Caenorhabditis elegans: one gene and its partner. The protein of the gene in region 1 purifies or fractionates together with the protein of each later gene. This does not show direct contact. Each region holds a gene or a part of one and is shown in the gene's direction. Other genes may lie near its edges.

Region 1 (3,248 bases):
ACAACGCCGCCGTCGAGGAGTACTTCGAGAAGTTTGCCGAGTTTGCCGCTCTCGGAAAGTCCGCCAACATTGCCGACCTTCCAAAGGATCCACGCAACGTTTGAGTGACAAGATACCGACGATTCTTTCAAAAATACTCCTTACTCCTATTACCTTTTGATGTTTATCTTTCTGTAAATAAATGTTTACGAAAAAAACTCTTGACCTCGGCACCAAGGCACAAACTGGGCAATCAGCGGCGCCGATCTTCTTGAACGGAAGACACAAACATCCCTTATCGCGCGACACTCATCGAGGTCATCGAAGGTCTCACTATAAAAGGGACGGCGCCGGCGCTGGAAGGATCAGTGTTCAGCTCGGCAGCGATGAAGTTTCTACTCCTTCTTGGCGCGGTTATAGCCGTTCGAGGTATTTTTTCTGGAATTTCAACACTTTCAGTACACTTTCACTCCGTGATCCTTTTCAGCCCAATCCGACACATGCCCATCACTCAAGGATCGTCAGCTTGCCAAGCCTGGCCAGCTGTTCTGCTGTGATAGCACCATCAAAACCGTCGTGGAGACCGGAATGCAGACCCTGGACCTCTTCGGAGCTGGTGGACCACAAACACTTGGACCAATCGTTCAGGCGCTAAGCACCTTCGTTCAGCAACACTTCAAAACTGCCTATGAGATTGTTATGGCTCCAAAGGACTTTGTGCTCAACACACACTACAATGGCACCAGTCTCTGCAAGTTCCAGTCCAACAGTTACACCTTGGCCATCTACGAGACCCCAGCTAAAGTAAGTTTATTAGATTTCAGAGAGATCCGGCTAATTCTTGAATCTTTCAGTACGATATCAACAGCTCCAGAGAAAAGTACTTCAACAAGTTCGCTCTCAACGACAAGCTCCGTCTGCCATCAGTTTCCAAGCACCTCAAGCAATTCTCCGGACTTGCCAACACCGCCACCGGAGGACTCAGTGGATCCGCTGGATCTGTCGCCGGCGGCCTTGCTGGAGGATTCTTCGGACGCTAAGACGTTGCAAAATGTGTGCAAGTGGAACCATTGCCTGCTGTAAAATGAAAAACATTACGGGGATCGTCATCTTTTTGTCGCTGAAACCAGATTTTTTATGAATAAAGCATTTAAAAATCATATATATTGTTATTAAAACATTGTTGAAATATGCACGGATCAGGTGTGCCTTCTTGTGTTCCAAAAGGGCCCAGAGTCTTCAGAAAAAGGCTTTAGAAGTGGCCAAGGACTGATTAACTTCGAGCATCTCATGGTGGATGGAGCATCATGGAGGATCCAGGATGGAGCTCAGAACCCGAACTCTATGGAATCAGCAATTTGTAGTTTCAGAGCATTGTACATCGGAGAAAGCCCGCCGTCTAAATCCCAAAGCCTTTAAACATCTTGTCGTGGACCTTTTAACTTCTGGAGCCGAGCTATCTCCACTACAGACTGGGATTAATTTTACTCTTAGGATTAGGCTTAGGCTTTGTGTTTGGCTCAGGTTTTGACTGAGGCTTAGGATTAGGGTGACGCTTTTTTAAAAATCTTTTTCTGAAGAAAAGTGCACAACATCTCTACCAAATTTCTTATTATCTTTTAAGTTTGATCAGCTATTTCTTAGATTTGTTTTTAAAGACCCAAATTCAAAAATCGCCTTTACGTTGACACTTTAACCTTGAGGACCTACTCACAATCTGATCTTGAAATAGCGCCGCCCCCGGCGAAAAAATTCCAAAGATAATCATCAAAGCTATTTTCCCACTACTCGCCGTACCATACCTATCTCGATTTCGCATCTTTTACTATATAAGGACTGTCCGCACAGTTTTGAGCCTCCTTGCAGCGTCTTCAACGTCTAAAAAATGCGCTCTCTCGTCGTGCTAGCCGCTTTGGCCGTTACTGTTTGCTTCGCACAGGACAATTGTTATATTAATGAGGGAGGTAAGTAATTATGAGGGTGTAAGCCTAGGCTCAGGTTCAGGCTTAGGCTTAGGCTTAGGTTTAGGCTCAGGCTTAGGCCTAGGCTTAAGCTTAAGCTTAAGCATAGGCTTAGGATTAGGCTTATTATAATTTTAATTGACACGGACACTTTCAGGCTTCACATGCTGCAACAAGGAGCTCGAGTCCGTCATGAAAAGCTCGTTGGGAGGAAGTGACCTTGTCGGATCTGCCGGGGACATTCAAAAGGGAGCAGAAGGGTCGTTGGGTGGAAAGTTCGAGACCGTCGTTGCCCATGATGATTTCGCCTACAAATCTCACTTCCAGGAGGGAAAATCGTGCAAAGTCGAGAAGGACGGACAGTATGCACTTGCCTGGCAGCCATAAGTTCTTGTATTTTGTTTTTACTGGTTTCAGCGACTTTTTGACGATCTTCTTTTACCCTATCTCAATATTTGTATACCCCCCGCAACTATTGGTTCAATTTGGCACATTTTTGTATAAAAGAATTTTTAAAAAGTTTTTCGATTTGAAATGTATTCATTGATGGTTTGGTTGAAATATGTAGGTATGAAACTTCAAGCAGAATTAGAGAATTCCACTAGCAGTGTCTGGATCTTTTTCGAAAATTTATGAAAGTCTCCGAAGCTTTTTAGAAGCATATTATCGACTGAAACTATTAAATGGGCAGTAAAAATGTTAAGTAGAATAAGAACTTCGTAGTTTAATAGTTTAGTAGTTTTGTATAGTTTCGGCAAAAATGTCAAATTTTTCAAACTTCTCAACTCGAATATAAGTCTTTTTTTTCAAAATTTTGATTTATCATAACGTTTTTTGAGACAATTTCATTCCAAAATTAGGCCGTTTTAGGCCATTTTAGGTCTGAAAATGCAGTCTCAGATTTTGGTACTCCACCTTTAATGGCAACTACCAACCATTATCAAACCATTAACTTTTGGCAGTGTTAAATAAAAAATTTTATTTGCAAAATCTCAAGCTTCAAACGTAAAATTATAACTCTTTGCGGTGCCCATCAAATCATTCAAAAATCAACCAACGTCCTCCGTTTCATGTTTGATCTTATAGTCTTCCAAGTTTACCTCGCCACCCAGCGGCTTACAGAACTCTTCCTGAAATATCACTTATCATCCAGAATACATCCATCAGTTTTACCCGCTTAGCAAACATCCGATCACCGGCACGACATCCGTAAAGTGAGCTGAATAGTGGATATTGACGAACAGCGGTGTTGAGAGAAAGCTCAAAGGGATGATGATTGCGGCATACGGTGTTTTTCGGTTTGCCTTG
Region 2 (4,455 bases), on another chromosome or scaffold:
AGCCAAAGACTGAATCTGCTGATTCTGAGAAGAAGGCCCCAGCCAAGAGAGAATCTGATAAGCCAAAGACTGAATCTGCTGATTCCGAGAAAAATGCCCCAGCCAAGAGAGAAGCTGATAAGCCAAAGACTGAATCTGCTGATTCCGAGAAAAAGGCCCCAGCCAAGAGAGAAGCTGATAAGCCAAAGACTGAATCTGCTGATTCCGAGAAGAAGGCCCCAGCCAAGAGAGAAGCTGATAAGCCAAAGACTGAATCTGCTGATTCTGAGAAGAAGGCCCCAGCCAAGAGAGAATCTGATAAGCCAAAGACTGAATCTGCTGATTCTGAGAAGAAGGCCCCAGTCAAGAGAGAAGCTGATAAGCCAAAGACTGAATCTGCTGATTCTGAGAAGAAGGCCCCAGCCAAGAGAGAATCTGATAAGCCAAAGACTGAATCTGCTGATTCTGAGAAGAAGGCCCCAGTCAAGAGAGAAGCTGATAAGCCAAAGACTGAATCTGCTGATTCCGAGAAGAAGGCCCCAGCCAAGAGAGAATCTGATAAGCCAAAGACTGAATCTGCTGATTCTGAGAAGAAGGCCCCAGTCAAGAGAGAAGCTGATAAGCCAAAGACTGAATCTGCTGATTCCGAGAAGAAGGCCCCAACCAAGAGAGAAGCTGATCCACCAAAGACTGAATCTGCTGATTCCGAGAAGAAGGCCCCAGCCAAGAGAGAAGCTGATAAGCCAAAGACTGAATCTGCTGATTCCGAGAAGAAGGCTTCAGCCAAGAGAGAAGCTGATAAGCCAAAGACTGAATCTGCTGATTCTGAGAAGAAGGCCCCAGTCAAGAGAGAAGCTGATAAGCCAAAGACTGAATCTGCTGATTCTGAGAAGAAGGCCCCAGTCAAGAGAGAAGCTGATCCGCCAAAGACTGAATCTGCTGATTCCGAGAAGAAGGCCCCAACCAAGAGAGAAGCTGATCCACCAAAGACTGAATCTGCTGATTCCGAGAAGAAGGCCCCAGCCAAGAGAGAAGCTGATCCACCAAAGACTGAATCTGCTGATTCCGAGAAGAAGGCCCCAGCCAAGAGAGAAGCTGATCCGCCAAAGACTGAATCTGCTGATTCCGAGAAGAAGGCCCCAGCCAAGAGAGAAGCTGATCCACCAAAGACTGAATCTGCTGATTCTGAGAAGAAGGCCCCAGTCAAGAGAGAAGCTGATAAGCCAAAGACTGAATCTGCTGATTCCGAGAAGAAGGCCCCAGCCAAGAGAGAAGCTGATCCACCAAAGACTGAATCTGCTGATTCCGAGAAAAATGCCCCAGCCAAGAGAGAAGCTGATAAGCCAAAGACTGAATCTGCTGATTCCGAGAAGAAGGCCCCAGCCAAGAGAGAAGCTGATCCACCAAAGACTGAATCTGCTGATTCCGAGAAGAAGGCCCCAGCCAAGAGAGAAGCTGATCCGCCAAAGACTGAATCTGCTGATTCCGAGAAGAAGGCCCCAGCCAAGAGAGAAGCTGATCCACCAAAGACTGAATCTGCTGATTCTGAGAAGAAGGCCCCAGTCAAGAGAGAAGCTGATAAGCCAAAGACTGAATCTGCTGATTCCGAGAAGAAGGCCCCAGCCAAGAGAGAAGCTGATCCACCAAAGACTGAATCTGCTGATTCCGAGAAAAATGCCCCAGCCAAGAGAGAAGCTGATAAGCCAAAGACTGAATCTGCTGATTCCGAGAAGAAGGCTTCAGCCAAGAGAGAAGCTGATCCACCAAAGACTGAATCTGCTGATTCTGAGAAGAAGGCCCCAGTCAAGAGAGAAGCTGATAAGCCAAAGACTGAATCTGCTGACAAGGTTCCACTACCACATTAACTCGATATGGAACTTCGACGAGAAAGTATCTTTTGAATTAATAAAAACATGTATGAAATGTTATTGTGCATATAGTTCTGTAATAAACTCATTTTTCACAACTACGTTGTAGTGTTTTCGAAAAATACAAACAAACTAAATTGAAAATAGCTTTTTAATCTATGTTCTCCATTGCTCAGGTTCATTTTCAGTCAGATTCATCATGCTGTTTACATCAAATTTTCAAGAAAACAGCTGTTCTTAACATTTGATTTCCAATCTTTTGGCATCCGATTTCTCCACTCTCCTCGAAGATTTCATATTCAAAAAATGAAGTTTTCATCAACTATTATATTTCTTATTTTTTTACTTGTGCCCTCTTTGAAATGTGCATTCCGGACTGGACATAGACATGACTGGTATGAAAAGAATCGTCTGAAAGTTTCCTGTTTGCAACAGGATGATCCAGTTGGAAGGAATGCAGTTAGTCGGTGCTGGTTCTGGGTTCGTTCTCCATTTGACAATAGAAATAGTTATGAATCTTTCAAATTTTGTTGCGAGAGAATTGAATTACATCAACAATATCGCTAGTTTTGAGCTTCAAAAGTTCAAAATTGCAATTTCGTGTTAACTGTTGTAAGTGTATCGCTGTTGTAACACAACACCCTACATACAGTAATTTAAAAGTAATCTAACTAAATTAAATTCGACCCATAATTATTAAAACAAACAATTCAAAAAGCTCTATAATTTCCATTTTCCAGGAAGGAATGAAATCATGGTTCCGAAGAACATCGATCTCTTGGTATCCCGAACAAACGAAAACGTGGAATATGACAGAATTGACAGCACATTGTGATAAGTATTATGTAAGGTCATGAGTACTTTTCTGGAACCTTATTCTGATGAAAATTGAAATGTTATTGATGAAGTACCGAAATAAATTAACCGCTCCGCGGTTTTTGCACCGACATTAGAAGATATTGTTTTTTTAACAAAGCAATCGTATAAGTACGGAAATTCAACAATGTTTTTGGCTAATTTAAAATGATTGAACAACTAATTTAAATTGAGTCACGTCTTATTTCAGACCTGTATGGAAAATACAAAATGCTACAAGGACTTTGTCCTATTTGAGACATTGGATAGATGCTCTCATGATGCATTCAATATTGGTCCAATGAGCTTTTGCTATTCTACTTTAAGAGATGTTGCAAAGAATTTCCCAGACAAGTTATCGTCTTGCGTGAAGGAACACTTGGATGCGGTGAGTGCATTTATCTGAGTGGGTCTCACCACGATTTGTGCCTAATTTTAGATACTTGCGTAGTTGATGTGGAAAGTGGAGTTTTTGAAATGTCAATTTCTGAAATGTACAGAGAAAACATGAATTTATTATGGAATATTTATCACTTACTGTCACGTTTCCGCAAACGGACGATATTGTAATTTTTCCATTTTCTGATATTTGCACTTAAAAACACACCGATTTATTCGGTAGGTTCTCGCCGCGAGAAAAAATTTGTTATTTGAAATTTTTCTCGTGGCGAGACCCATCCAAATAAACCTGTGCGCCTTCAATTACTCATCACGGTATTTTGAAAATGTTTAATAGTAATTTGTGTATTTTTGTGAAATTCGCAGAATTGAGATCGTGGTGAGACCCAATGAAGCCCCACATTTTCCCAAATTTAAAAAAGCAATTGTAACGTCCTATTTTCAGACTCCGACAAGGAAATGGACTTGCGAGATAGCCCAGGATTTAGGAAATTGTCTTCTACCGGACGTTAAAAATTACTGTGAACCGAATTTTCTACCGATATTTAAAGAGGTTTCCAATATATTTATTCTACATTTAAAATTAAAATCCGTTCCAGCATCAAGATTCTCGTATGTTCAATTTGGGTTGCGATGGGCGATTGAAGTTCAAAGACATGGAAGATTTGAAGGATCACAATGCGACGGATCTAGTTGGAAGTTCTGTAGAAATAGAATAATAAACATTTAATAATTTACAATTCTTCATTTGATCATCACAGAGGGCGCAAGGAAAACAAATGTTTCGGAGACAAGGGAAAATGTTGTGAGGGTTGTATGGAGAATTATATGGGGACAGGGGGGACTACGGTAAGTTATGGGTAGTCTGGGGTGGGAAGGGAGAAAAATAAAATATGAAAAAAGAAAAGGAAGAAAAAACGCGATGAATACCCTAAAAGACACATAGAAAAAAAATTTAAAAAAAGAAGAGTAGTCAATAATCGAATAATAATTATAATAATATTTAAATCAATGGGATATCGAGAAAACTTATAAGATAAGATGGATTGGTTATATCATCGGGGGGAAGGCGCGAAATATGAAACGATGGGTTTGAAAAAGAAAAATGCAATTTGAAGCGGCGACGACGATGAAGACACAAAAATAGAGGTTTTATAAAACAAGGATACGGTAGGGGGACGGGGGGAGCAATCACCTACAACGATGAATTTGAAAATATCCAAAAAAAAAAGAGAAAACCGTACTGGAAGAGGGGGATTGTTGAATTGGGAGGAGGAGACGAATTGAACAGAAGTTAATTTCAGCAATTTTTCACTGAAATCGCTGCTTTTTTCATAAATTTCTGAATTTCAGT

The links.
Region 2: the proteins of grd-10 (region 1) and H39E23.2 fractionate together in Caenorhabditis elegans (co-fractionation; one large-scale study listed by BioGRID). This does not show direct contact.

Annotation. Positions count from the first base shown.
Region 1 is NC_003282.8:3,439,314-3,442,561, forward strand, and holds grd-10 (Ground-like domain-containing protein), read left to right. Parts: upstream 1-1,741; 5' UTR 1,742-1,864; coding exon 1,865-1,943; intron 1,944-2,097; coding exon 2,098-2,327; 3' UTR 2,328-2,528; downstream 2,529-3,248. Other genes in the region: grd-13 (GRounDhog (hedgehog-like family)), read left to right, coding at 1-104; grd-3 (Ground-like domain-containing protein), read left to right, coding at 366-408, 467-783, 834-1,019; F09D12.2 (Peptidase_M13_N domain-containing protein), read right to left, coding at 2,990-3,070, 3,114-3,248.
Region 2 is NC_003283.11:14,108,208-14,112,662, forward strand, and holds H39E23.2 (T20D4.11-like domain-containing protein), read left to right. Parts: upstream 1-2,134; 5' UTR 2,135-2,153; coding exon 2,154-2,327; intron 2,328-2,587; coding exon 2,588-2,692; intron 2,693-2,913; coding exon 2,914-3,090; intron 3,091-3,546; coding exon 3,547-3,654; intron 3,655-3,700; coding exon 3,701-3,820; 3' UTR 3,821-3,839; downstream 3,840-4,455. Other genes in the region: H39E23.3 (Neurofilament heavy polypeptide-like), read left to right, coding at 1-1,844.